2 linked regions of the Caenorhabditis elegans genome follow. The protein of the gene in region 1 purifies or fractionates together with the protein of each later gene. This does not show direct contact. Each region holds a gene or a part of one and is shown on either strand. Other genes may lie near its edges.

What was found.
Region 2: the proteins of exl-1 (region 1) and lsm-3 fractionate together in Caenorhabditis elegans (co-fractionation; one large-scale study listed by BioGRID). This does not show direct contact.

Annotation. Positions count from the first base shown.
Region 1 is NC_003280.10:14,405,965-14,421,092, forward strand, and holds exl-1 (Chloride intracellular channel exl-1), read right to left. Parts: upstream 7,512-15,128; 5' UTR 7,502-7,511; coding exon 7,435-7,501; intron 7,245-7,434; coding exon 6,940-7,244; intron 6,621-6,939; coding exon 6,276-6,620; 3' UTR 6,238-6,275; downstream 1-6,237. Other genes in the region: nurf-1 (DDT domain-containing protein), read left to right, coding at 411-505, 557-978, 1,029-1,208, 1,257-1,387, 1,436-1,794; F26H11.4 (ULP_PROTEASE domain-containing protein), read left to right, coding at 2,787-2,821, 2,868-3,141, 3,294-3,521, 3,749-3,948, 3,996-4,449, 4,502-4,593, 4,635-4,845; dsb-2 (Double-Strand Break factor), read left to right, coding at 5,138-5,200, 5,244-5,362, 5,417-5,798, 5,841-6,032, 6,081-6,167; plx-2 (Plexin-2), read right to left, coding at 12,061-12,264, 12,310-12,489, 12,539-13,005, 13,055-13,225, 13,274-13,430, 14,052-15,128. UniProt on the Caenorhabditis elegans protein: Probable chloride channel.
Region 2 is NC_003282.8:13,383,133-13,398,849, reverse strand, and holds lsm-3 (U6 snRNA-associated Sm-like protein LSm3), read right to left. Parts: upstream 11,382-15,717; coding exon 11,268-11,381; intron 11,212-11,267; coding exon 11,158-11,211; intron 9,956-11,157; coding exon 9,815-9,955; 3' UTR 9,707-9,814; downstream 1-9,706. Other genes in the region: Y62E10A.13 (Phosphoserine phosphatase), read left to right, coding at 6,184-6,509, 7,875-8,175, 9,251-9,487; mdt-9 (Guanine nucleotide exchange factor MSS4), read right to left, coding at 11,608-11,742, 11,794-12,063, 12,138-12,176; Y62E10A.23 (Mediator complex subunit 9), read right to left, coding at 12,005-12,063, 12,138-12,340, 12,392-12,471; Y62E10A.20 (Tim44-like domain-containing protein), read left to right, coding at 12,762-12,842, 12,898-13,273, 13,317-13,452, 14,464-14,533; rab-19 (Ras-related protein Rab-43), read left to right, coding at 14,914-14,984, 15,046-15,137, 15,206-15,406.

The sequences.
Region 1 (15,128 bases):
TTTAGACAAATTTTGTTCCAACTTTTCCGTATTTGTGGCGACCACTGTTTGTTGAACATATCGCGTCGTTTATTATGTGTTTTTTCGTTACTTTATGCATTCTTTTGGTAGATGAGTGCAAAAAAAAACAGCAAAAGCTTAAAACTACAGCACTCTAATGACACACAAAAACATTTTTATCTAACAAAAATTTGTCGTGTCGAGACCGTGGTTTTAGAGGGCAAAAATCGCAAAATTTGCCGTTTGGATAATATTTTTGCACCCATCTACCGAAAATGTACCTTTTTTGACTAAGAAAGGTATGATAATCATAAAACGGTGAAAATTTACTCTGCGATACGGAGAAGTTTGAGATTTTAGCTAAAACTTGACTGTTTTATTCTTATCAATTTTAACTTTTTAATTTTCAGCGGCCAAACCAAAAGCTGAGGTGAAAAAGGAAGTCATAAATCCGGCTGATATCACTCTGGGCGGAGATACTTATGATTATGTCAAGGAACAGAAGGTAAGATTTCGAAAAAAGTGATTTTCCCAGTGAGACCTGAAATTTTTCCAGCCAACGGAATCAATCGCCACCAACGTTTCTCGTCGTCGCCGAACTTCTGCGAATCTCTCAAAATCTGAAGATGATCGGGACAAGCCGGAAAGCCAATCCACGGCTCCAAAGTCAAAAGAGCGTCGTACTTCGGAGCCGCCAGCGTCCCACGTGGCGTTCCACACTCCAGGATCCGCGACACCACACGACATAAACCTATCCATTGAGCATTGCACCTGTCAGAAGATTTTCGACGCGTCGAAGCTGTATATTCAGTGCGAGCTGTGCGCTCGTTGGTACCATGGCGACTGTGTTGGAGTCGCCGAGCAAACTATTTTGGGTTTGGAGCACTGGAGCTGTGAGGAATGTATTGAGGAGCAGGAGAGAGTCAAGGATCAGCCGGCGTTGTACTGTGTCTGTCAGAAGCCATATGATGATACAAAGTGAGTTTTGTTGGCATAGAAATAAGAGAATAATTCAGGTAAATTTGCAGATTCTACGTTGGGTGTGACAGCTGTCAAGGGTGGTTTCACCCGGAATGCGTTGGGACAACACGTGCCGAAGCCGAGCAGGCCGCCGATTACAACTGCCCGGCATGCACTCGAGAGGCTGAAGGCTACGAGTCGGAAGCGTCAGATGTGTCGGGTTCGAGTCGTGTTAGTGTGCAATTAACGTGAGTTCACACATTGTTAGAATTTTCAGTTTTTCGGAAAAATTTCAGACGCGCCGACTATACTCATGTCTTTGAGCTCCTCGAGCTTCTCCTCGAACACCGTATGAGCACACCATTCAGGAACCCAGTAGATTTGAATGAGTTCCCAGATTATGAGAAATTCATCAAGAAGCCTATGGGTTAGTATTTCCGAAACGTCGTCAAACTTTGCATTTGAAATTTTTCAGATCTCTCAACAATAACAAAAAAGGTTGAGCGCACCGAATACCTGTATCTATCGCAATTTGTGAACGACGTGAATCAAATGTTCGAAAATGCAAAAACCTACAATCCCAAGGGCAATGCTGTATTCAAGTGCGCCGAAACGATGCAGGAAGTGTTCGACAAAAAGTTGATAGACGTTCGCGAGCAAATGACCGCCCGTCAACAGATGCTTCTTCTAGCTACTGCTCAACAACAGGACCCGATGAGTTCTATCAGAAAGCGTGTCCAGTCGGAAAGCCAGCGAACTGTCGACTCGTTGGATATCGATTCGGATCAGCTGTTGCCACTGGATGCGAATCTTATGAGACTTTATGATTTTTGAGATTTTTCCTCTTGTTTTTTTATGTTTTTCGTAGTCACACAGTGACTTTTCACTTGTTACGTTGACAATGTTTTGTAAGAATAAAATTTCTTTTCGATTTTCAATGAAAAATGTTTAAAGCACAGGTTCACGGCTAAATAAAAACGTTCCGCTTTATGTGAAAATTCATGACAAATAATCGAATGGAGCAATTTTTGACTCAAACTATAATTTTTAATTACAACACTCTTTAAAGGCGCACACCCGTTTATTTAACAAAAAAAAAATTGTGTCGAGACCGGGTGCCGTATTTTTGGTGCAAAAATCGCATAATTTTGCATAATTTTTTATAATTTTTAGGAAAGAACAAAAAGCGGCAAAATCGACGAAAAATGTATTGAAAGCGTTTGAATTTGCAGTTTTGCCGCCTTGGTTTCCGTTGGAATTGGAGCGCGATTGCACTTTGGTTTCAAAAATTGGTCACGAAACTACATTTTTTAATGCGATAAGGTGCACACCTTTAAAGAGTACTGTACTCTGAAACATTAATTGCTGCTAAATTTCCCCGATTTTAGCTTAGTTTTTCAATAAAAACTCAAATCTAACAATAAAATGCATAATTTTTACCAAATCGTGAGAAAAACTATAGAAAATCGATTAAGTTTATCAGAAAACTAAATGTTTTAACTACAGTACTCTCTCAAGGCGCACACCCGTTCGTACTTAACAAAAGTAATTCGTGTCGAGACCGGGTACTGTATGTTTGGTGGAAAAATCGGATAATTTTGTGTCTTAAAATTATATTAAAACAAAAAAAATTAATAAAAAAGTTTGAACTTAAATTTTTTATTCCCTGTCCTCCCCCCCCCCCCCCCCCGCCTATCAATCTGACGTGTGATCTTGTTCAAAAGTTTATTTATATATATTTTCGGACCATTCGTATAAAGTTGGATGAAATCTTTTGAAGATTGAAACTTCTGGTCATTTCAATTTTTATATCACTTCGTTACAAAATGGATTCCGATCTGAAAAAAGTTCAAAAGAATAGGTAAGCCGGAGCGGTCTTGGAACGAAGAAACAACTTCTATTTTCAGTGATCAGAAACAAGTTTCAAAAAGCAAAACAGCAACTGCGCCAACTGAGCCGTTTAACAGTAAGGCTACTGAGTTGCCGTCAATTCTCAAGCCGAAGTTCCCGTCGGACAAGGTCCTGAAGAAGAAAAAATCCGGTGACATGTTTGATCTTGTAGGACAGATCGTCATCGATATCGTTGATGATAATCCTGACGATGATGACCGACAGGATGAGGCTACAACGGTGGATACTGTACAAGAAGGAATCGGAGCAACGGTCGATGTAACTCTTGTCGTGAGTTTTTGAGGAGCAGAGAGACATTGTTTTAAATGAAAAACAGTGAGCGCTTTTAAGGAGCACAAGAGTCTTTATTGCATTCAAGTTTTTTTTTAGTAATTGGAGAACATGAATCGAATATGAAATAACCGGGTAAACTAAAATTTCAGGAAGACGTCGCTGAAAAAGCACATGAGCCAGCTTCAACTCCAAATGTTGCTGACCGATTGCAAAAACCAGTTGCAAAAGATGATAATAGCGCTCCGGTAGAAGAAGCAAATAGGAAGAAGAAAGAAGGCAAAGACCCCAAGAATTCAGAAGAAGCAAAGAAGAACAGTAAGAAGGGGAAAAACGGCACAGCAAGACGATCCGCGCTGAAAGGAGTCACTATTCCACCGGTGAGCTATCTAGAAAAGGCCAAAAATTTCTGCACGAAGTGGGATTCGAACCCACGCACCCATACGAGTACCAGAAGACCCAGTAAACCATCCGTGCGGTGAGTAACGTGCAGCGAGCGAGAGTATATGAAAAGAATGACAGAGAGTGAGAGAGCTTGCGTATTCAAGAGGCTCCATAGAAAATTGACGAAAAAACACTGGGCTTTTATAAAAATTTAAATTTCCAGGTAGCAGCTTCTTTACCTTGTCCTCCACCCCCACCTCCTTTGAGTGAGCGGAAGAAGAATGTAGGCCCAAAGCCATGCGTTGGTCCAGCACAGAAAAATTTGTCGAGCCAACGGAAGCATAGCTCAAAACGAAACCGAAAAGGGCTCTTGAGAAATGTGGCTAAACTATGGGGCCGAAAGTCGGATGGCATCGCCAATCCGTGAGTTATTCAAACCAGACTGCATCCCTACCGTGAAACATTTTCAGAACTAAAGCAATGCTGTCGAAAAAGTACGTGCCACCGGATTATGGAGTGAACCCTGTCGATTTCATGCCGGACCTTGAATGTTATTTTAGCAAAAACGACATTACTGTTCGTGATAAAAACAAGTGTAGCAAAGGAGAGGTTTTTGTTGAAAAGCTCCCATTTTGGTTGGCACGACTGCCGAGTGACGATGACATTCCGAAGGCTCAAATTCAGGCTCATCGGCCGCTGAAGCAAGCATTTGAAGGAAATCCGTCATTGCTCCTTCCGAAATGCCCAAGAACACTGCCGTTTTGTGAACCGGACTCTGACACACTGGAAAAGTTTAAGCAAGTTGATAAACAGATGGGAACCGATGTACCTGAACAGGCATCGAAAAGATTGTGTACAAACACTTTTTATGGAACCCTAATGTTTGAAAAAGACAAGAGTGCGTCTGAAGAGGTGAAAAAGAAGGTAGACTTTATTGACTAGCAATATATTTTTTGCGAATTTTAAAAGTTTTCAGAAAGAGGAACCAAAGTTGAAGTCTCTCGGAGAAGAGAGTGTGAAAGTGAACTTTAGTTTCCCTCCGAAACCAATCTTGTTTATTTACTCCAGGTAAGCTTGAGACTAAGCCGAAGCCTTATGATTTTTTGCAGAAAAAATCGACCAAGACCACCGGTGAGAGAGGACGACAAAAGCCACAGCTGCAAAAAGTGCCACCCCAAAAACTTGAAACCGGAGCGAACGTTCAAAAAGTGTGAATGGGTGAAAATGAAGAAGGGCGACGAGAAAAAGACTGTGACCAACTCGGCCAACTCGAAATCTGACACGAAATCGGCTTCTTTTTCAGCAGAAGGACGGAAATAGTACTTGTAGCTTAAAATGAATTATTGAAATTGAGGGGAAACAATTTTTCGGAGAAAAACAGGAACTATTATTTAAATTAAAATATTTTCGAGAAACACAGAAACATTTTGTGTAGTACAGTAGTTAATTGAAGGGACCTGCGCGATGTTTTATGCTGGGTCTCGCAACGCGCACACATATAAAATGGCTGTTACCGTAGTTGTTTAAATTTATTTGCTCCGGAATTCGTTTAAAAAAAATTCATTTTTGATCAGTTTATTTCAATAAATATCTCAATTTTTACAGAAAAAAAATGAGTGCACGTGGCCTGAAAGTTGAGATGTACTACAAATTAGCGGAAAAAAATGAAGCAGAGGTAATTTTCGCGTAAATATGTTTTTTTTATTTGAGTTTTTCAGACTAGCGATGTCTCTATACTTATCGACGGACATAAAAGAAAGTTCGCAGTCATCTGCAATGGAATCGGAAGAGAGATGGTGGATTTACACTATGATTCCAAGAAGTTTCCGAGAATTTTGTAAGCCGAACAATTATTTTGTGTTAAATAAATTTTAAAAAAATCAATTTTCAGTTCCCGAGAACGGCATCTCTACGTGATGTTCAGTGAAAGTACCAGCGATGGATTTCGATTGACATTCGGCGCAACAGAACGCGAACAATTTCTGAGAATCATGCATTCATTGGGATGCCTGCTGGACACCGCAATCGTGAAATTCTCCCAACAATCGAGTTCATCCCAACCTCCACCAATGCGTCGAGATTCTACAGCAGTGTTCAACAACAGCTACAATCAATATACTTCATTTCAACAAGCCTCTCAGCCGAGAGTTTTTTCAACCATTAAATTGGAACTTTCTGGAGATTCGTGCAATTCGGCGTTCCAGCCGTCCCAGCCGACTGGATTTCCAGACAACCAATTATTGACGATTAAAAAGTCCTCGTCGAACCAAATAGTAGGAAAGTACCATACTGTTTTCTGTAAAACTATTTTTCAGTCTCTAAGCGTTGAAGTAGCCGACAAATGCATTCAAACTGAGGATTTGGTCGATTTGCTGGCTGACGATGAGTATTGCATGCGAAAAGCACTGAGGAAAATGATCGAAAACCCAAGTTTTATCAAAGCCGTCGCTGCTGCAGAAAATACACTGCAGTATATTCCACAAGCGGAACAAGAGGGATTGGAAGATGTGAGAATATATTTGTCTAAAAACAATGGAAAGAATGTAATTTTCCAGGTCACCGAACCACCAATAAACGATATATTCTTTGATCGTTTTCATCAACCACAGCTTGAGCAACACGATTCTGTTCCAGAAGATTGATTATTTGGAAAAATTCTAAAAATTTAAACTTGTATCATTTGAATCTGTAAATTTTTTTTCAAGTATATTTAAGAAGCATTTTATTAGAGCCTTCGATTATTAGGAAAATCAGACGGAAAATGAAAATACCGGCTCTTCGCGGACCAGTTTAGCTCGGTCTTTAGCCGACAAGCGGGGCGTATCCTTGAGCTCTGTCCAGTGAAGAACAATTTCCTGATCGGATGGACACGAAACTCGAAACATTTCAGTCGCGTAACCGGCTTTCAGATAGTCGAGTACATGCGATAAATCGGCTGGAATTTCATAGTTTTTCAGCATTTTTGCGGCAACACGGATCGAGTGCAATCTCGTCAGGACCAGGCAATCAATATGCGTGACGTCATCGGAGATCAGAAATTTGGTTTCTTGTTCGGAGAGATACTTGTCGAGACGAAGGAGTTCCGTGTTGAAAGCCTGAAAAAATTTTCTAATTTTTCTTCTTTTCCTCAAACTGATTTTGTATTTCAGATTGAATAAAGAGATAAGCATTCAAGACTATTTCGAGAACGAGCGCCAGAGACATTGGAGCGCGCCGTGTCATGTCGATTTACGAGATTATTCAGTTTTACGACGAGTTTTTTGAAAATTTTTTTTTTTGTGTCAATTGCCCTCCGAAAATCGACACAAAACGACGCGCGTTTAAGTCTCTTGGATGCATAAATTCACGATTTCAAGCTAATCATATTTAGATATTCGGAATCAGGAAGTCTTTTTTAAAACATTAGCCCTTTACCGTATCCCTATGCTCGACATCCTTCACGAATCTGGCGAATTGTCGGAACAAATCACACGTGGCATTCTCCGCTTCTTCATCATCACCTCTCTCGGGCTTCAAGTACTCCAAAAAGTCCAAAATATCGTCCTCCGTCTCGAATGTCTGCGTCTCTCCGCTCTCTTCAGCACTAATTCCAGGCATACGACGGAGTCCAGTGTTTTTGAACTCTTGACTTGTCTTGTTCACATTTGTGGTTTTCACATCGAATTTCATCGTTGGATCGTGTTTTGCGTGGTACAGACAACGCATGAATAGGTGGTGAGCTGAAAATCGAATTACAATCGCGCTCCAACGGTTCGTTTGGTTTTGGCGGCAAACTTGAAAATTCAAACATTTTAAAGCATTTTTATCGTTTTTGTTTCGTTTTCTTTGGTTTTTGATTAAAAAACCACGGGAAAACAGAAAAAAAACTGGCGAAGTCTGCGAAAATATCTGAAAACGTTTGATACTTACCATACGGATCACCGCACGGGTGTACATTATTAGAGCCCGCTGGCAGCCACAGCGAAAAAGTGGGCATTCTCTATTGACTGAAATGTGTGAAGCTATTTGAAGAAAGTTAAGGAATATTGGAAAACTAATTTGCTTGAGGATGACGTGGAAAGTGGAACAAGTGGGAGGATATTGGAGGGTCGCGTGAAAAAATGAGAACATTAAATTTTTTTAATTGAATTTTAAATTTTTTGTAGAATTTTGAATTCTCTTTTAATTTTCTTCGTGTAACTTGGGAAAATCTTGGAAAAAGTACGAAGAGGATAGAGGACGCAGAAGAAATTTTGGGAAAAAGACTAAGTTTTCTATAATTGCCGGTTATTTGATTTTTTTTTCAGATTTTTTGATTAAAAAAATTCGAAATAATTTCGTTTTCGAATTTTCAAAAGGAAATTGAGAAAAAAGGAATGTTCAGAAAAGTATGAAAAATCAATAAAACATTTAAAAATGCTTTAAAAATTGTCGTGTCGGGGCATCGTAACGCATTTTAGGCATGTGCCTTTAAAGAGTACTGTAATTTCAAATTTCCGTTGCTGCGAAATTTTCATGAATTTTATTTATTTATTTATTTATTTTCTCTCAAGGAGATTTGGAGGAAAATTAAAGAGAAAAAGAAAATGATAAGCATACGAATAATCAATTGATACATGCAAGCATTCAGAGCATTCAGATTTCTCATAGTTTTTCGAAAAAAAAATTAATTACAAAACTAAGATGAAATGAAATGAGAAAAACTATGAAAAATTCATGAAAATTCAGCAGAAACGAAGATTTGAAATTACAGTATTCTTTAAAGGCGCACGCCCCTTTTGCATTAAACACTAATTTATGGCAAATACTGTTTTACTACTTGATCTTTTACTACGTATCTCTTTTACTACGACATTTCTTTTACTACGGTATCTCTTTTACTACGAATTCCGCATTTAGATCTTTTACTACAATTGGCTCTTTTACTACGTGTTCTCTTTTACTACGGAAAATACTTTTTTACTACCTCATCTTTTACTACGTGGATGTTTTACTACGTTTTACTCTTTTGCTACGGACGTATTTTTACTACGTGGAGGGATACTGTTGGGTTACTGTAGTGGTATTGTATAAGTAACAGTTTTCAGATTATGTATTATAGTTTTTTTTAAATTTCTAGAAATTTATTCACTATGAAAAACAATAAATTGCTTATTCTATACAAGATTTGATCAATCCAGAAAAAAACATTTTTCAAGTTTTTGATCAAAAGTTTTTGCAAATTTAAAGTTTTTGATCAAAATTTCAGTTGAAGTCAAAATTTCAAACATCTGGCGTATAACTGACCGAACCCGCAAGTTTTTTATTACATTTCAAAAACTTATAAATCAACCGGTAGGGAACTAATTTGTTGGTAACGCGAAAAAAGTTAATTACTCCCACAGTATCACTACAGTAATCCAACAGGATCCCTCCAATAACTCCATCTCAGTATCCAAAAAATAAAAAACTGAAATTTACTAGAACTACTTGTGCACAAACTACAATTGTGACCTATATATTTTTTTAAAATATTCATAGATTTGTTTATATCTAGACTATCCTATAAAAATTAATTTTTAATTCGTAGTAAAAGATACGAAACAAAATATAATCCCTGCCATTGTAGTAAAAATTTTTCTGTTACTTATACAATACCACTACAGTAACCCAACAGTATCCCTCCACGTAGTAAAAATACGTCCGTAGCAAAAGAGTAAAACGTAGTAAAACATCCACGTAGTAAAAGATGAGGTAGTAAAAAAGTATTTTCCGTAGTAAAAGAGAACACGTAGTAAAAGAGCCAATTGTAGTAAAAGATCTAAATGCGGAATTCGTAGTAAAAGAGATTCCGTAGTAAAAGGAATGTCGTAGTAAAAGAGATACGTAGTAAAAGATCAAGTAGTAAAACAGTATTTGCCCTAATTTATCATGTCGAGACCACATAACAAGATTTTAACGCAAAAATCTCAAGAACAACGAATCTATCATGAAAAAAAAGAAAATTTGTTTTCTAAAAATAAAAGTATTGGTAGTTTTTCTCCATTGACACAAAAAACCAAGAAATGAAATTATGTGGGTTTAGAGTCAAAAATGGAACAGAAAAGCGTCTAAAAAAGGGTGTGATAAGTGGTCAGTGATAAGCGGAAAAAGTGTGTTTGAACTAAAATGCCAAACAATATAATTTCGGAGTGCGTGGGAACACAAAATGAAAATTTCTGCACCACAACTCAATGCTTATACATATTTGATGATTTTCCACCAAAAAATGATTGAATTTTCAAAAAATTAAAGTATGTTTGTGGCAAGTAAATAAATATTCATGGAATTCTTTAGTCTATAATTCGCGCTTTTGGGTGGAATGAAATAATGATTGATAGGTTTGGAAATGGGAAAAAGGGAACTCGGAGTTATTGTTCGATGCTTTATGTTCGATGCTTTACTCTCCAGGAATCATATGAATGTGATAAACAAGTGATCAAACAACCGGAGAGAGGGAGAATGGCATAGAGAGAAAAAGGTTTTAATAACTGAGAGAAACCTGAGGATTGGCAATAGCGGAGTGATAAAATCTAACGATGCCTTCTTTACAATTCCAGAAGATAGTTTGATGACTTCGAATAAAATGTTGTGAAGGTGTGGAATGCAGTTTTGTTGGGTGTTAATGAAAAGGATAGTTATGCATTAAAACATTCCTACCATGTTAAAAATCGGCAGTTCCGGATGAAAGTTAATATATTTTTTTAGTCACAGATTCAAAGGTGGAGTAGCGCCAGTGGCGAAATTGTCAAAAACCACTCCTATGGTGCCAAAATGAGCAAATAGAATACATCTGTTTCAAAAATGGCAGTTACTCAATTTCGGCAATTTGCCGTAACTGAGAATTTCCGGCATATCTGCAAACCGGCAATTTGAACATTTTTGGCAAATTGTGCTTTTTCACATTATTTCTGAAAGTTTCACAATTTCAATTTTAATCGGAAAATTTGACGCACCCTTTGTATGTTTCTACATCTATTTTGAAAAGCAAGAAAATTGAATGAAAATATTAAAGAAAACTTGAAAAAAGTTTCAAAAGGCAGTTGTAAGTGTTTCCGTCTTATAGAAAGTCCCCTCAAATTGATATCAGCAATTAGCCGAAAATGAACATTCCTAGCAAATCGGCAAAGCGGCAATTTGACGTTTTGCCGAATTTGCCGAACGGCGATTGCCGCCCATGCATATTTTATTTGTTTTGTTTTTTTTTTTTATAAAAAAGGTTTTAATGTGATATTTGGTCATTAAAATTAACCGCTGGCACTACTCCACCTTAAGCGTATTTTCGGTTTTTCTGTGCAAAAAATAAGACAGGCCAACTGAAAAAAGATTTTCTGGGAAAGGTTTTCGGGATAAAGTTTTCGAAAGTTTGTCAAAAGTGTGATGTTTTTACAGCAAACTTAAATATCGTTAATCTTTTGCGAAAGTTTAATTAAAAAATTTAAATAAAGTTGTAATTGAAAATGGTCAAAACATTTGTAATTTTTCTAAAAAAAACAAATTGTTCCTTGGTTCATAAATTATTATAAGATTATTTTACCAAAAGTACACGTGTTTATATACAAAAACCAATTTCTCAACAAAAAATTAATAATGAGTGTAATCGATACTTGTGCTTATTCTTTCGTGAGGGAGCAGCATACAAAGTGTGGGCACTTTGCTCCTCATTTTTTTCGGCGAGAGTTTTTCTTTTTCATCTCTTCCAATTTCAATGGTCCAGGTTCTCTCAAGGGGTGATGGAAAAAGAAGAGGCGAGAATTTAAAGGGGAGGCTTAGAGAGGTAGAGATGAAATTATGAAATTTTTTTTTTTGAAGTTTCAATTGAAAAATTATAATTTACTATGAAATTTGTTACAAAAAATGTGGTATTTAAAGGTTTTCAAATTACGAAATATTCCAGTGTGTGAAATGTGTTTTTCCTCGATTGAAACAGTAGAGAGTGTGTAATTTCAGCCAATTGATGGGCGTTGCTCTATATCCCTCTTTTTTAAACTCTTTTTTCACTGCATACTCAAATTTTTTTCTTAGACAAACATGTTCAAAAGTTTTATTAGTTCGCGTCAATGAATACCGTTAATTTGTGACGTCCATAGGGAAATGGCCTTAATGAACAATGTAGGCCCTCCATGGTAGGCCGGTGCGGTGTCAGGGCCGGACACATGCTTGAAACTTACCCGCCTCACGCCGGCCTTACGTTAATTTACAATTTTCTACTTTTCTCATTTATTAATTTGATGAAAATCGAATTAATAAATTGAAAAAAAAGTTCACGTATATCTTTGCATAAGGCGCGGATTGAGGCAAGAGGCAGGAGGTCGCCTTAAGATCAGGCAGGCAGTTTTACCGCCTAGATGGAAGTACCTAACAAGGATATTGTTTGATGTTCAGTGAATACCTGGTATTTTGAACCAACAAGTTTCATTCACAAGTCGCAAAATTCAAAAAATCAAATAATGATAGTGGAAAGACAAGAAATACCTGACGGGAAAACAAATGGGGGAACCGTATAAGAATCGAGATAGAATTTTCTGAAGTAATCGCTTATTCATAATCAGAAATTGTCGAATAAATATGATTGTCAGTCTCCAAGCAAACATGGAGAACTTGTGAGAGTTTTTGAGGCAAACGTTGTTGGCTGAACTGCTCATTTGAGGATAACAGTTGGGAAATGCGAATTCCGTTTCCTCGAACCCAGGACAGAAGTTCGGAGAGCGCTAGGGAAGATCCTTTGCACGTGGACACATCCTGGAAAATTTACTAATATATTATGTTAAGCATAAAATTGCTCACATTGGCCATGTTCACCAACTCCGTTCTCAACTCATCCATTCCTAGTGGAGGACTATTTTTGACTCGCTTGAATAAGTCCACTGAAAGGGGCCGGAGCCTCGCCACGTCTTTTGCAAAAAGAAGTCGAGATGACGGTGAATGGGCTCCGAGAACAGGTTCAGAGAATGAGAAGCAATCCATCTGAATTTATTTGTCAGAAAATAATATAACAGAAAAGTGATTCGCTCACCATAGTTTGCGCTACTGTACTCAAGTTTGCATCCATGGAAATAGAATGAGGAACATCGAACACCAACTGCGGATTTCTAACAAAATTGGCCCAAACTCTGAGAACGTAGCCATTAGCCTTCCATTGCTGACAAATATTTTCAGAAACTCCGTTCACTGAAGCTTCACGATCCAAAATGTCAAAGAAGAATTTTAAAATTGGCGGGTAGCTTGAATCGTGCATGTATAGTACGGATTCTAGGAAGTCTTCCACATAAGTTTCTACTGTTCCCTTTGAAGTGAGCAACCTTGTTAGGTACACTTCTGGAATAGATTTGGGTAGCAAATTGCTGTCGTTTGAAGATTTCTTCTTGAAAGTCATAGTTCCAGATGACGGATTTGTTAGGTGATAGTATTTTGAAGATGAATAAATTGGAGAGCATCGATCTAACGATGACCAGGAAGATTGTCCAGAATCTGCGAGAGAATCTGAAATTTTAAGGGTTATATTCAAATTTTGTTTCTTCAATTAACTCACTTCTATAGCTTTCCGCTGTATAAACCGCTGGAGACATTTCCAGCGTACAGCCATCACTGATACCGTAATCTGCCAAAGTGAACAACTTTACTGGTAGCTTTTTCTGCGATAACGTCTCAATTGGCAAAACATCGGTCAGTTTCACATCTCCCCGTTTGGGACATTTATATTCTGAAAAAAAACTGATTGAAGACACATATGGGATTATTTATGACCCACTCAATTCGAACTGCGTTATTCTCGGTCGCTGTGAATATGGTGTTTCACGATAGACAGCTGAAGCAACTTTTTGTTTGACTTGACAAATTGCGTCGCATGCATGAACTTCAAGATCTATTGATTCATCGCATTTTTCAAATGGAATCACACGAATTTTCTGAAAATTAACCAAAAATAGCATATCAATTAGACTTGCTTTCCCTTTTCCTGTGGGATCAACTGTAAACGTTTCAAAACTGAAACAAAGGTATGTTGTTAAAATGAATTATATATTTTCTGATTAATCCAGGTTAAATAACTATGTAAATTTGTTACATCAATTCACAATTTTGTGGAATTTCTACCAAAATTCGTTTCTTCCGATAATAAAATTTAGTAGCCGTTCATAATAACCGTTGATTCTCTCGTAGTCTAGTAAACTTTGAAATAATAGGAAAATATTTTCTCACTATTTCATCTTATATACTACGTTGTTATTTTACTAACCCGGGTATACTCAAATTTACTAGAACTACTTGACTACAAACTACAAGTGCGACATTTGTATTCACTATATTTGGGTAATTATACTTGGAATAAATTATAAAAATGAGTTTTGAACTCGTAGTAAAAAACATCTAGTAAGATACAATAATAAGATACAAAGCGTAGTAAAAAAAATCACCGTAGTAAAAGATACATTGTAAAGTTAAAAATCATCTTTAACCTCTATGAGTTTAAACACTTGTGAAACTTTTTATAAAACCTTGAACATTTGAAAATTTGAAAAAAAGCTCACCAAAGTCTTTGTGTCCACACTCTCCCTTAACAATTTGGCCTCGTTAATCGTATATCTCGCATCACCGGTCACCGCGTCCACGGGTCCTTTGTCAGTTTGATATTGTAGCGCCTTATATAGATAGAAGTACGAGTTCATTTGCGGAGTCAAATGGGAGTACAAACAAATGCTCATCCACTTTGAGAACATTTTCTCCACCACCGAGTCACTATTCCGAAACAGTAACTCGGCGCGCTTATTTTGAACCGATCTTGCGATATGGGCACGTAGAAGGTCCACAACAACTTCAGTGCAATAAGAGAAGTTTCGAAGTAACACAGATATCAGGAGGCTTGCTAACATTGACTTCTCTGATGTTGATATGGAGACATCCGATTCTGCAGCTTCTACGATAGTGAAAATAAAGCCTTTGAAGCTCAGAAGTGCATGAAATTGAGCAAGAGTCACTGGGAGAGTCCTTGCCAAACTCGGCGCAGATGTAAGGTTGTTATCAGACCAGAGCAGGTTCTCCACAAAATGCGGGAAGTTGATGAGTTCCGGTCCAAGGTTCACAGAATTTGCAGACTTTGGAGATAGTACTAGGTTTGTTTGAAGTTCAGCGAATGCTTGCTTGCATTCTTTACGAACATTGTTTTCAAGATTTTCCATTTGAAGCTGAATCTTTCGGTATTCTTTCTCTCGTTCTTGACGCCTCCGCTTGAAAACCAAGCACATCACAGTCAACGTGACAACAATGAACAGAAGTAGCCCAAGAATCAAAAGTGATAGTCTGGACGGGAGTGCATGATCGGAATACTCAATCAACCCAAGCTCCATTCTAAGTGATCCAACTATTACAGTAACCAGCGGGTTATCCCCATTAATTGGAATTCCTCTTTCATCGGTAGCTTTTGGTTGCCTCACCGGTCCCGAGCACACCAATTGCCTAACATCTACAAGTGTCACGTAGCATCTCTCATTTCCAATGAAGATCTTGAAATCATTTGGCTCCGCAGCAAGATTTAGATTGTGTCCTTCAAGAATGAGTGATTGTTCTCCCTGATGATATCGTACTCCTTTGAACGGAGAAAGCGTCGG
Region 2 (15,717 bases), on another chromosome or scaffold:
CTGAAATGTCATCGCGAGGCTAAAGATTTCCATTTCTCACAAAATTTGCCGTTTCGGCATATAATCTGTGCTCTGTGTTGGCTGGCCGACGATGATTGAATTGGCTCATTGGCTCATTTATGCGTACTTGTGAGTTTTAAAAATGGTTTGCCGGTTTGCCAATTTGCCGGAAATTTGCCGGTTTTCCAATTTTTCGGAACTTTTCAATCCCGGCAATTTTCCGGAATTTTTCCGGTTTGCCAATTTGCCAAAGCTTTTCAATTCCTGCAGTTTGCCGGAATTTTGCCGTTTTGCCAATTTGCCAGAACTATTCAATTCCGGCAGTTTCCCGATTATCCGGAAATTCGCCGGTTTGCCAATTTCCCGGAACTTTTAAATTCCGGCAATTTGCCGATTTGCTTAAAAATTGCCTGTTTGCCAATTTGACGGAGCTTTTCAATCCCGACAAATTTCCGATTTGCCGGAAATTTGCCGGAGTTTTTCAAGTTGCCGATTTGCCAGAATTTTGAAAATTTTCCGGAGCTTTTCAATTCCTGCAATTTGCCAATTTGCCGAAAATTTGCCGGTTTCCCAATTTGCCGGAACGTTTCAATTCCGGCAATTTCCCGATTTTCCGGAAATTTGCCGGTTTGCCAATTTGCCGGAACTCTTTGTTTCCGGCAATTTGACGGAACTTTTCAATTCCGGCAATTTGCCGGAGTTTTTCAAGTTGCCGATTTGCCAGAATTTTGAAAATTTTCCGGAGCTTTTCAATTCCTGCAATTTGCCAATTTGCCGAAAATTTGCCGGTTTCCCAATTTGCCGGAACGTTTCAATTCCGGCAATTTCCCGATTTTCCGGAAATTTGCCGGTTTGCCAATTTGCCGGAACTCTTTGTTTCCGGCAATTTGACGGAACTTTTCAATTCCGGCAATTTGCCGGAGTTTTTCAAGTTGCCGATTTGCCAGAATTTTGAAAATTTTCCGGAGCTTTTCAATTCCTGCAATTTGCCAATTTGCCGAAAATTTGCCGGTTTCCCAATTTGCCGGAACGTTTCAATTCCGGCAATTTCCCGATTTTCCGGAAATTTGCCGGTTTGCCAATTTGCCGGAACTCTTTGTTTCCGGCAATTTGACGGAACTTTTCAATTCCGGCAATTTGCCGGAGTTTTTCAAGTTGCCGATTTGCCAGAATTTTGAAAATTTTCCGGAGCTTTTCAATTCCTGCAATTTGCCAATTTGCCGAAAATTTGCCGGTTTCCCAATTTGCCGGAACGTTTCAATTCCGGCAATTTCCCGATTTTCCGGAAATTTGCCGGTTTGCCAATTTGCCGGAACTCTTTGTTTCCGGCAATTTGACGGAACTTTTCAATTCCGGCAATTTGCCGTAAATTTGCCGGTTTGCCAATTTCTCGGAAGTTTTCAATTCCGGCAATGTGCCGTAAATTTGCCGGTTTGCCAATTTGTCGGAACTTTCCAATTCCGGCAGTTTGCCGATTCGCCGGAACTTTTTAATTCCGGCAATTTACCGGAAATTTGCCGGTTTGCCGGTGTTCCGATTTGCCGGAACTTTTCAATTCCGGCAATTTTCCGGAAGTTTCCCGGATTTGCCAATTTGCCGGAAATTTTCCGGTTTCCCAATTTGCCGGAACGTTTCAATTCCGGCAATTTACCGGTTTGCCAATTTGCCAAAACTTTTCAATCCCGACAAATTTTCGATTTGCCGGAAATTTGCCGGAGTTTTTCAAGTTGCCGATTTACCGGAACTTTTCATTTTCGGCAATTTTCCGATTTTCCAGAACTTTTCTATTTTGGCAATTTGCCAATTTGGCGGAACTTTTAAATTCCGGCAATTTACCGATTTGCCGGAAAAATCGTTGCCCGTCAACCCTGATTTCAGCCTTCAAAGTAACAAAAAGTAGATTTTCCAATTTCCTAGATTACACAAAATACACGAACCGGGAAACTGAAAGTTCATATCTTTTTCTACTACTTTCTGATAGATTTTCTTGTCAATGACACACGAAGGTGTCTCTTCTTCCTTTTTGAAAAGTGATTTTTTCTTATTTGGACGCGAGAGTAACCACTATATAACATATAAATTCGACTTATCACTTCCAATACTCTGTTAGAAAATCGTACAATGCAGCAGCATCAGCAGCAGTACTATTTATTCCTCGCCACTTTAATGTGAGTTCCAGTTCCTTTTATCTGTATCAGCAGCTGATAATAACTACATCACAGACTGTCGGAGGAGTCTCTTACGTGACAGTACTGTGTGTATATTTGTTTGCGAGATGAAAAAAAACAATGATAAATATTTATAATTGTGACTTGCAAAAAGTCACGTATTGCATTCATTTCACATTTTATATTCGGATGATGACAATTATGTGCGCTTTTCGTATTTTTTTGTTCTTTTGGGGGGAATCATCCCATGAAATGTTGTAGTGATGGTTCACTGCTATCAATAGAATGATAAAGTCCTCTGATCTTTGTCAACGGAAATCCGGGTAGAACAGGTATTTGAGAACATAAAGTAGACGATACCTAGGGGTTTTTTGAAAAAAAAAATTAGAAAATCAAAGACTATCTCGGAAACGAGAGGTAATTTCAGAATGATAAGATGACCGTGAAAAACCTCTACCACGGCCATGTAAATTTCCATGTGTCGATTTACGCAGCTCGCTTTTTTTTTCAATTGGCAATATTTCCAACATAAATTGACTTATTTTGTAATTTTTACCATTAAATAATATAAATTTTTTAATATGTAGGAAAAAAATTGACGAAAATAGTTCAAAATCGAGCATTTCCGCGAAAAAGTCTATACTAAACATAAAATTCAATCGTAACCTCGAGAAGTACACGAACGGCGTAAATCGACACACGGCCAGGCTGTAGGCATATAGGCTTAAAAGTTCGCGAAGTTCCAGCTCTAGAAAATTAGTTTTTAAAAATATATTGCGGATACTTTAAATCTTTAATATGACGGAAAAATTTATAAATTTGCAATTTCGCCAAGCTGTCCCATTACGGTTTGATCTACAAAAAATGCGGGACTTTTTTCACCAAAAAAATGTGACATCAGCACGTTCTTAACCATGCGAAATCAGTTGAGAACTCTGCGTCTCTTCTCCCGCATTTTTTATAGATCTAAATTCTAATTTCTTTCAATTTTTCCCCATTTCTATGGATCTAGATTAGGTACAAATATTTCACCGTCTCCCAGAAATCAGACATCATATTCATATCTCCAATGATTTCCGAATTCCATCGCATATTTCGGGGACCAGTTGCCGCCTCAAAACATGCCGCTTCTGAAACCAAACACGGAAACGTCGTCGTCAGCAATTCCTCCATCTATGTGATGCAATCTGTCGAGTATAGAAGCATCAAAAAGTACACGTGAACAACGCGTGCCCTCCCCGGGGGCGCCTCCACAATTTCAGCACTACCTCGCGCCGGCAATTTGTGTGACGCCTCTGCGTCTCGACGCGGGGAAACAACCCCCCGCTTTATTCGGCCCGCCTCGAAGATGGTTTTTCGTTGGAAAAAGCACGTACACCACCATAATGCTACCGTAATTGGTATATAAATCGGGGAGTGCGCACAAGTTTTCGTGGAACTCTTGTTGAATCGTTCCATTGATCTACTTGGTCCCTTAAGGCCATAGGGTCTTTGGGTTTCCAAGACTTTCCGATTTTCCCATCAAGACCTTGAAAACTGGAACAATAAAAATCTATCTGATAATCTTCATCTCTGACTTCTGCTTCTTCTTCTTCCTCTTCCTCCTCGTCGTCCTCCTTCAAAGACAGTATACCAGTTCGTTTAGAACTCTCCCTTTCAACATTACAAACCTCACCAATTCTTTGTCGTCGTAGTGACACCCCCTTGCAAAATGATGTGGCATTCGACGTCATCGACCAGAAATCACCTTTCTCCGTCCGTCCGCATTGTACCGCACGTTGCCGCCTCCTCCTCGTGTATCTCTTTCATTCATTAAGTCGTCCGTGCATGTGTTTATATTATAGACAGAGTGGGGTGGACACAGAATAAGAGTACATGTCACCTTTCCATTCACTCATTCTCAAAACGTTAGTCTTTTTGGACTTTAAGACTCAATTTTTTTGGACTTGGCTGCTCGAACATTTAAATGTTCAGACATCAGACTTTGTTCCTTTAAAAATTGTTATTTGTCAGCATGCATTCTGAGTCTTTCTATCTTTTTTCTCCTTTTCAATATAAAAATATATTGAAAAAGTTTGTTTGATCAGAGGGATGGGGGGGAAGCCTCAAGTATCATCAAAGAGCAGCCCGTTTTTTGAAAATCATTTGTGAACTATTGACGTCAAGAAGAATATTTTTTCTCTTCTTTTTTTCGACTTTTTTAGTTCTGCATCAACAACTTCTAGACGCTAGAAAATGTCATATAAAAGTACTGAAAATCTCTTACATAGTAATAATTTTCTCTCAGTATTTCCTTGTTTCGATTTACGCAGCTCGTGTACTCCTCGAGAAGAAGTGTGTTTTTTAATACATTTTTTCCTATTTTGCAAATTAACCATTTGTTTATTTAAAAAAAATCTAAAAATAGTCTAAAATTTTGTATTTTGAGCAACCAAAAAACTGTAAAATCGCCTGCTGAAAAAAAATAAATACAAACTTTTCCTCGGGGAGTACACAGAGTACGATTGTAAACAAATATTCAAAAAAATCGAATTTTTTCGTTTTTTTTTGGGTCGAAACTAACAAAACACGTGGTGTCAGAATGTCCCATAACGGTATGATCTACTAAAAATGCGGCAATTTTTCGCCCAGAGAAGTGTGACGTCAGAACGCACTTAACCGTGCGAAACTTGTTGACAACTCTGTGTCTCAATTCCCGCATTTATGGTAGATCATATTGTTATGGGACAGTCTGACGCCATATGGCAAAAAAATTCAAAAAATTTTTTTTGAAAATACGATTGTTTTTTTGCTGTTTTTTTTTTGTGGGAAATAACACAAACCCAATATTTGCCAAATACCAACAAAAAACCGTCCCCTCTTCGCGGGTTACTGTAGTTTTTTTGGAAACTACAGTACTCCCAGGATGTAAAAACTTTCTAATCTCTAACTTTCTATCACTTCAAAAAGAACTTTGAACATTTTTCTGTGGCATGCCTCCCAAAATTTGCCCATTATCAATTAATCTTATCAATTCACTAGCCATTGTTGTGTTTTGAACACACTTTTTTTTTTCATTTTTTGCCATCATTTTCACCTCCAACTAGTTTTATTAAATTTCAATGGGGACTTTTGTCTTGGACAGCCTAGCTTAAGAGAAGACAATTATATTCTTTTTCTGTCCAGGAAATCCCTTGCTTTTTTAAATGATTTTTGAAGATCATCACGTGATCAGAGAACACTAGAAGGCACGCCTACTTATCACCCGATTTCATTCAAAATGCGTACTTTGTTCGTATCTGTCTCTTCTGTTTTCTTATACTGTATCAGACCCACCATCATTCGCCTTATCAATTAGTTCTTTGACACCCTTTTTCAGTCCCTACCACGTCATCGAACCATTCAGTCTTTTTTTTATTTCCTGAATAGTAGAGGCTATAAATATACAATGATATACAATCATTTGTACATTTTATTTCCATTTCTACTAGTTTCTGAAGAATGGCCGTGTAAAATCTCTAACACGGCCATGTGTCGATTTACGGGGCTCGTGTACTCCTCGAGGAGGATGCCAGTTTTCAGCTAACTTTCGCGAATTCTTCCGGGATTTGACGTTCTAGATCCAATTTGTATATTATTTAAAGTCTAAATTTCTCCTTATTCCTATTTATAGTGGTTTATAGGAAAATCGGACGATTTCCATTTGAAAACTCCGTAAATATTACCCATATGCAAATTTTTTCGCTTCGCCGAAACTACGATGACTGGTCTCGACACGGCAATGTTTTTTTTTTCTGAATGCGAAAAAATGTGTGTCTTTAAAGAGTACTGTAGTTTCATCGAATTTTTTTTGTATTTTCTTTTTTTGAAAAAAATAATATTTATGTACATCAAAAAAAAAGAGAAAAATCGATATAATATTGTTAATGTTGAATACAAAAATAAATAGTCAGCGAAAATTATACAAAATCAGGGATTTTATCCAAAAACTGGTGCAATCCTCCTCGAGGAATACACAGGCCTCGTAAATCGACACATGGCTGTGTTCTTCCATTTTCATAGAATTCTCTATTCCCATAATGTATTTCAATTGAATTTCAGAATGATCCGTGTCGCTTTACCAACAACAGCGTCGGCAATCCCTCGATCCATATCCACATCACCGGGTGAAACAATCTCAAAAAATCATGAAGAAGAAGTGAAAAGAGTATGGAGAAAAGCTGATGCTGTATGCTTTGACGTTGATTCTACAGTATGCCAGGACGAGGGAATCGATGAGCTTGCTGCCTACCTGGGTGTGGGTGAAGCCGTCGCCAATGTGACACGGACGGCGATGAACGGCAACGCCCGCTTCAGGTATAGGTAATAAATGAAAGCACGCGGGTTGTTTTTTTTGAAGTGTGAAGAAGAAATGTTTTTGAATCATAGATTTTGTGTTGTTTGATGTGTGGAAATGATTTTTGAAGGTTAGAAATTGGACTGTGTAATATAGACGGTTTTCGGTTCAAAATTTGGCTTTTTCAGCTGGAAAAAAAAAATTTTTCGAGAAATTTAAAAATTAAAATTTTTCCCGAAAATACACAAACAGAAAAAATCAATTTGGCTTTTCGAAAAAAAAAATTTAATTTTTTTTTCTAAATTTTTTTTCAGAAAAAAAAGAAATTAAAAGAAAAATTGGATATTTTCCGGACTAAAATATTTAAAAAAAAGCGACAAAGAAGATAATTTTCGAAAAATTGTTGATTTCCTTTTTTTTATTTATTTTTTTTTTAGCAAAATGGGTCTCAATGTGAGAAAATGTTTTTCAGAAATAAACAGAATTTAAAAATTCCGGAGCAATTCTATTAAATCTTTGCGCATTTTTTTTCGGTTTTTTTTTAAAATTTTATCAGAAAAACGTAGAAAATTGAAAATTTTTCTTCAAAAAATAGGAAAAAATTTTTTGGCCAAATTCGAATTCTTATCAGCTTTTGCTCATTCTGAAAGAAAATTATTTGGAAAATTTCTTGAATTGTGAAAAAAAATGTTAAGTTAATTTTCGAGAAATCGAATTTTTTTTTGATTTTTCGAGGAAATGTTTTTAAAATTATACAATTTTAAAAAATAATAAGGAAAAATACAACATTTTCCGAAAAAATATAAAAAAAATTAAAATTTTAAGATTTTCCGAAAAATCGAAAAAATGTCAAAATCAAAATTTCACTTTTCCAGCTGGAAAAAAATTAAAAAAATTTTTTTTTGGAAAAATTGAAGAATTACAATTTTTACCGAAAATACAAAAGCAGAAAATTTGGCTTTTCGAAGCATAAAACATAATTTTTTAAAATCTAATTTTGTTCAAATTGATAAGAAAAAACATAAAAATGTCTTCTAAAAATAGGAACAATAGCCAAAATTTGAAGCTAATTTTTGAAAAATTGGAAATTTTAGATTTTTAGATTTTTTTTTGCTAAAAAAACCGAAAAACCGACATCCTTGACCATAATCCACAGCCAACCTGATTTTTCATTTATTTTTTTCAAATTTCCTTTTTAACATGCATGACACAAACTTTTCTTCACATTCCCCCCGTGGCTTTCTGACCGAAGTGTTGTTGTTGTTGTTTTGTGTGAATTTTAGTGAAAGTTGAGTTTTCAATTCTCTCCTTTCTCTAATTTTTCCCAATAAACAACACACACACACACTTCAAATTAAAAATCTCATTTCTAAATTTTCATAATATTTCAGAGATGCTCTTGCCGCCCGTCTTCAGGTAATGAAACCAAATCACGAGCAACTTGAACAATTTGTGAATATTTCCAAACCAAAGCTCACTGTTGGAATTCGAGAACTTGTGAGCCGTCTTCATGCTCGTGGAACTCACGTATATCTTGTCTCTGGTGGATTTAGACGACTTATTCTTCCAGTTGCTGAACTTCTTGGAATTGAGAAATCTCGAATTTATGCAAACGAGATTCTTTTCGATAAATTCGGAAAATATCACGGATTTGATACTTCTGAATTGACGAGTGACTCGGGAAGCAAAGAGGTTAATTGGATTAAATTTGCGTTAGAGCGCGATTGCATTATCAATGTTTTTTTTTGAGATTTTTCAGTTGAAAATTTTGAAAATGCTTTTTTTCGAGTTTTTTCCCAAAAGTTTTTATTATACTTTTCTTGAAAAAGACAAAATAATATACAATTTTCTAATTTATACACTTCCTACACACAAAAAAATTTTTTTTACGAAAAACAATTATTTTTCGTTTTCAAAAAAAAAGTCACCTGCGAAATTGGCATTTTTACTTTTTCATTGACAAAAAAAAATGTTTAGTAGTTGCGAGGCTTTTTCCAAAAGAGTTTCTGAAAAATAAACTGAAAAAATACGAAAAAATGTGTAAAAATTGATATTATACACTTTTTAGTCAAAAAATTAGCGAAAATTGTCATCGGATGTGAATGTTTTTTAGAGGAAAAATCTTTTTTTCTTGTAAAAAAATTGCGAAAAACGAAAAATTTTTAATTTTTTACTTTTTGGCCTTTTTTCCGCTTTTTATAACGATTTTTTTTGTAATTTTTGGCAAAAACAAAATTTGCAATTTTTTGAAAAATCGTTTTTAGAACGAAAAAATTGAAATTCTCATGAGAATTATGTGTAAAGCTCAAAATTTATTATGACTTTTCAAATTAAAAAAAAATAAATTTTAGCTAAAATCTTCAATTACCAACCTTTTTGGTCCAGTAAATTAGCTTTTTATTTAAATAATCTCGTATTTTGCATATGCTAGTTTTTTCGATTTATTCACTTTTAAAGCCAAAATTTAGTCATTTTTACATGCCTATTAGCTGAAAAAGTGCCTAAAAAGGCCAAAAAATTCACCAAAAAATTTCAAATACTACTCTTTTTTTGTTAAATTTCAAAATTTAAATAAAATAAAATTTCATTTTTTTCGATTTTTGAAGCCAAAAACTATTTTTGCTTTAAAAATCGAAAAAAATTCCAATAAATCAAATTTTGAAATTTAAAAAAAAATACTAGGATTTTTTCGATTTTTGAAGCCAAAAAATCAAAAAAAATTCTATTTATAAGTTTTTCTTCCAAATTTTAATCAAAATAATTTCAGACTGGCAAACCGGCTGTGATAGCTCTTCTGAAAAAGATGTACAACTACAAAACAGTTGTGATGGTTGGTGACGGAGCAACCGATGTTGAAGCTTCACCCCCAGCTGATGCATTCATTGGATTCGGTGGAAATGTCATTAGAGAAGGTGTAAAGGCTCGTGCCAAATGGTACGTCACCGATTTCGATGTTCTTCGGAAAGATCTCGATCATGATGAGTCTGATATTGACGACGAGTAGATAATTCATGTATCTGTACATATCGTTTTTCTTTTTTTTTCATATATTTTCCACACGTTCTCAGTTGGCTTTACTGTGCGGTTTTGAGCATTTTGAGCATCATTTTCTAATCACCTACTAGCGTATTTCTATTTTTTTTTTCTCTCACTGTGAATTTTTCCCTTCATGTACCAGCAAACTTTTGTCTTGTTGTGCCATAAATCTTCTACCACATGATATAGAGTTCCGAAAAATATTCATAAACAAAAATAACGTATGTGTGTGTTTAGATTTAGAAGATCACAAGATGAGAAAAATTTAAAATTGCGAGAAAATGATGACGATGAATTAGGATGCACGAATCGGTGGAGACACGAGAATGACAGAATCACCACGAACGAAAAGCATTGGAACAACACGTTTTGTTTGTTTGTAGATCTCTTCGAATGTGTCTTCGTCGACTTCACGGGTGGTGATTGTCTCTTCAACCTGAAAATATTTTTTTTTAATTTGATGATTATTGAACTACGATCAGAATTTTGTGAAAACAGGTTCTAAATAATGACCTCATAATTAGTTAAATGCGATATTTTGCGCAATAAATACGGTCTTAAAGCGAACTTAAAGCGTACCGAAATCTGAAAAATATATTTAAACGACTCCAAATTTTCTCCTGATTCCGAATATCTAATTGGAAAATTTCAAAAAAAAGTCCCTGATTTTATATTTCAACTTAAAATCGCGATTTTCATTTGCGTCCCCATGAGATTTTTCAAACGGCGAATTTTCGCGCCAGCCATGTGTCGATTTATGAGATTTGTGTAGATTTACGAGATTTTCAATCTTTATCGGATGTAGATTTCCTTTTTTCAACGAGTTTCCTTCATTTTTGTCGGTTTTTTCTAAAGTTTTTTTTTGAAAATGTGTTTTTTTAGGTCAATTAAACATTATATTATTAAAAAACTAACAACATTTTTTGGCGAAAACCGACGAAAATGATGAAAACTCGTTGAAAAACCGAAATCAGCATCTGATAAAGATTGAAAATCTCGTAAATATACCCAAATCTCGTAAATCGACACATGGCGTCTCTGGCGCAAAAATTCGGCGTTTCAAAAATCTCATGGGTGTACAAGCGATTTCAAGCTGAAATAATAAATCAGAGAACATTTTTTTGAATTTTTTCATTTCGATATTCGGAATCAGGGAAAAATTTGAAGTCACTTAAAAATATTTCCACAGATTTCGGTACCTTTTTCTTGAAGTTTTTCTTGGAAAACAAGGTTTTTTTCGAATTAAAACTGTATTGTTTTTCTATTTTATTTATATAGTTTCAATCTATTTTCTAGGGGATTACGGATAATCTGGAGTTTTTTTTTGGAAAAATTGTTTTTTTTCCTATTTTTCGGCTTTAAAATTGAAAATTTAAAGCTTTCTCCAAAGAATTATGGCCTTTTTTGTAGTTTTTTTTTTTGGAAAAAGTTGTGTTTTTTTAAGCTAAACTGTATTTTTTTCGATTTTCTTCTTTTTAAAATTTCAAAGAATTTTCTCAAATCCATTTCGAGGAGAGGTAGAACCTATAATTAGAAATTGTCTAGGATTTCGCATTTTTCTTTGACTAAGATACTTTCACAAAGTTTCAGTTTTTAAACAGTTTTACAATTTTTTAAAACTTTTCAACAACGACAAACCTCCGATAAAACCATGTTCAAATGTTGATCGAAAGCTCTGAGACGACCGCGCAACTGAAAAATCGAGATTTGTAACACAAAAAAAATCCCAAAATAAAATAATTTCCAACCTCTCTGTCGTTTCTCATTTTGACATAAACTCTCTCATCCAAACTGAGACGGAGCAAATCGAGTGGCTCTTCGACTGTAGCAGACAGTGTCACTTCTTTCTTTTCGGTGGCCATCTGGAAAAAAATTTGAAAAACTAAAAGTTTGAAAATAATAAAAAGAAAGAAAATAGTGAATTGAGAAATCAACATTTGAATCATCAGAAAATTAATTTTTCGAGCATAATACACGGACACACTTTTTCATTCCAGCAGTATAATTTCGCGTAAAAAATTCAAATTACAGAAAAATGAAAAATGAAAAATCAATAAATTATTTTTGACACATTCCGGAAAGCTCAATTCACTTTCCAGCCTCCACAGCAGCAGCAGCAACATCAGGAAGCACATCGAGCCGTTCAGGGCTCACATAGTTCATTTCAGTGACTGGATCCACGAAACCGACTGGTCCTTGCTCACATTCACCACACACCAGATACTGAAAATTGGGATTTTAAAGTTTTAGATTTCAAAAAAAGTTGAAACCCACTCGTTTGCCTTCAGAAGATCTTGTAAATCCAACATTTTCAAAAGCGAACATATCCTTGACTCCGAAAAATCCACGGATCGGCTCTGTCTGAGTATGATCGATTCCTTTCTTTTGACGTGGCAATGGAAGATCACGTTCTTCGTCGAGATATTCAGTAGTCATATTCTTCAGAATAACAACAGTTTGACAGATTTTACAAATGTATGTGCTCTCATTTGTCTCCACTTTCACTACGCTGCTTCTGCTCTCCGTCGGGCTTTTTGAGGGCTGCTGAAATAATTAATCAATTAAAAAATCATTTTTCTTGCTTAAAACATATTAATATCTTCTTGAAAATAATTCACCATCAAGGCTGAAGGCTGCGAGTTCGTCGAGGAGCTCATCTTTCTTCTCAATCTGCTTGTAGAGCGCGGCGATTTTCCGTCTTTCCTTGTACTCTTCGACGCCGATGTCGGGAATCGATTTCAGAGCGTCTTTGAAGCTTGCGATGTCGGCCTCGACGTTTCGAAGACGAACAGTAAGCTCAGAACCGCTTCCTTTCTCCACGCTGAAATAATTAACCTCGTTTCTTTTTAATAACTACAAATTCCGAACTTACGAGTTCACAAGATGGAATAAATCTGCGTATAATTTGTTCAAATAGCTTTCAGCACTTGGCTTGATCACTTCTTTGCTCATGAACAAACTCTGAAAATAGTCGAATACTGGAAAATTGATTTGAAAATAATTCCAATAAAGAATTAAGTTGAAATTGGCTTGCGTTCGATGGAGCGCGTTTGCTTCTTGCAAGCCTAGCACACAAGATTTGCAACAACGCCGCACACTTGTTGCAGAGTACGTTGCAGAGTATTTTTCCTTTTTTTCTGCTTTATGTCTCGATTTAAGATGATTTCCCCGATATTTTTGTTCTAATTTTTACTAAATTGTATAGAATTATCATAATTTTCTCTATTTTCCCATTTTAGAAAATGCTCAAATGCTCACACGCCATTAGGAGAATATCACCGCGAAATCTTTGCACGGCGAGTACCTCCGCGGAAATCGCCAATGTAAGTAAAACTTGCGTTGTTATCAATTGGCAAACAATTAATTTCTGAAATTTAGGCTGTTCCATTAATTTCCAACAATCGTTCATATGTGTTTGATACTCCACAAGTATCAGTTCCAACGTTTGAGTTGAGTCGTCGAGTTGGAAATCTCTTCGCGCAGTCCTTCTACACATTATGTTACGAGAAAAGCTTCACTGTTGAGAGCTTGGTGCACGGAGCCAATAAAGGCATTCACAGTCTTTCTCATTTTCTAGCTGATGAAAAATGGGATCAAATGGAGAATTTGGCGGTGAAAGATGCTGTTGAGAATATGCGAGAAGCCAGAAAAGGGCTTTCGAAGCAATTAGAAAATGCTCTTCGTTTCTCTCCAGACGACATTTTGCTCTCATTTCTCCATTCGACTGTCATCTCCGGTCGGGATGTTCTCAAGTGTAAGTGTCAAGGAAATATTCACTACTGAACAGGAAATTGCAGTGAGCAGCAGCCGAAATATCGGAATTTATTTCACCGTCGTCTCTTTCGTTCGATTGTCAGAGAAAGTTCCGGAGAACGCAAGTATTGGAGAGCTCAGCGGAAAGTACAAGAGTGATGTGCTCGTTTGCAATGCAACGTACGAGTTCTTCATCAAATACATTAATTTTTGTGGTTTTCCGGCATTTTTCGACATTTTCCAACGAGCAAAACATCGAAAGAAGCCGCATGCGAGAGAAATGGATGTCCCTTTAAGATTTGTGTGGATTTACGAGCTTGTGCACTCTGCGTAAATTTATTTTCCTGAAGGATTTCACAGTTTTTCGCTAAAATTGGCGATTGTACGCCTTTTTCCTGCATATAAGTGCGCATTTTAAATCAAAATTCCAATATCTATTTTATAGGGTAATAAAAATGTAGTTTGGGCAACTTTATAAGTGAAATGCTGAAAAAACCAACTGAAAACGGTAGAATCCAAGGCTTTCGAGTTAAAATTGTATTTTTCGCTTTTTTGCGAGAAAAAAATTAGCGAAAAATACGAAACAGCGACATTTTTTTACCAAAAAATCTTTAAAACTGTCAAATTTTACTTTTTTTTTCAAAAAATCACACTGAAACATTTAAAACATTTTGTTTTTCTAGTTTTTGCCGGAAAAGAAATATTATTTCGAATTCAGCCCTGTTGTTCACGCCTAGTACACGAGCTCGTAAATCTACACAACATTTAAAGAGGCACTCATTCTTATAAACGCATAAAAAATAGATTTCAACGGAAAATTCTTCATAAAATAGTCAGTCTGGCAATTTTAAATGTGAACGAATAAGTTCAGAATTGTACACCCGTGCTGAAAATATTCGAGTTTTTGGTTTAAAAAAATGTATTTTTCGCTTTTTTGCTAGAAAAGTTGCGCAAAGTATGAAAAAGCTAACTTTTTAACTGAAAAAACTATTAAAATATTAAATTTTACATCTTTTTTTTTAAATTACACAGAAACATTTTTTTTAAATTGTTTTTCTGGTTTATTTTTTTGGAAAAGTCTTTTCGAATTCAGCTCTGTTGTCCTCGCATAGTACACGAGCTCGTAAATCTACACAATTTTTAAAGGGACATAGCTCGTTTCTTTTCAAAAAAACACTTCTTTTTTTTCAGATTTTCCCGCGTTCTTAATCCTCTGGGAGTGTGGAAAGTGACGAACGCCAACTTTTTCCTGCAAAACTAGTTGGAATTGCAAATGTAGAAGAAAAAACTAAAAAGTAAGTAACGTCACACACATACACTACTGAAACGGTGGCAGCAGCACACAATTTCGTACTAGTTTTGAATGGAGGAATGGATTTTTGTTGCGTCGTGCATGCGAAAATGTCGTCGTCGTCTCGTTCAGAAAATAGTACGAAAAATGGGTAAACGTAGAGAGCGGGGCACACTACTTTCAACACTCTTGCCGTCTGCAACTCTTTCACCGGAGCACTCTCTCGTTGCTTCACCCAGTGACATTGCTCTTCTTCTTCTTCTGAAGAACCGCTTTCTATATATCCTCCTTCTCCTGCATTCAATAATTCGATATTCTCGTCATTTCAGGCTCAATCGTTAGGAATATTTATGGACAACGATGATGGATTTGACTATTTGTTCAAAATTGTGCTTGTCGGCGATATGGGAGTCGGAAAGACGTAAGGAATTCAAGTTTTCGGGTTTTTAAAAAGTTTTTTTTTTTAATTTAAAATATTACAGATGTGTAGTTCAACGCTTCAGAAATGGAACATTTGTTGATCGTCAGGGAACCACTATCGGCGTCGATTTCACAATGAAAACTCTTGTCGTTGGTGAGAATTAGAGAAGAAGAAGCTAATTTATTATTCAAACGAAAAATCGAAAAATCGATGATTTTCAGACGGAAAGCGTGTAAAATTGCAAATCTGGGATACTGGAGGCCAGGAACGATTCCGAACGATTACTCAATCATATTATCGATCTGCTAATGGAATTGTTTTGTGTTATGACATTACTTGCAAGCAATCATTTGGAAGTCTTCAGAGATGGATTGATGATGTTTCAAAGTTTGCAGCTCCGAATGTTGTGAAGCTACTCATTGGTGAGAACTCTTGCACCACGGAAGTTTCCTTGAGGAGATCGGAGAGTGCCCAGTAAAACAGAATTCAGTTGGTGGAGCCAAAAAGTGTGCCGCAACCGAAATCGATGTTGTATGAACGTGTACTACTCGTGGACAACTTTGATCTATTTTTTGCATGATTTTGCATTTATTTTTGGCTAAAATTCATGATTTTTCATCAATTTCGCTAATTAATTTTGTGTTAAACATTTAAAATAGTCAATATATATCTTATTGAAAGTTTTTTGGTAAAAACTATTAATATGATATATATTGACTATTTTCAATGTTTA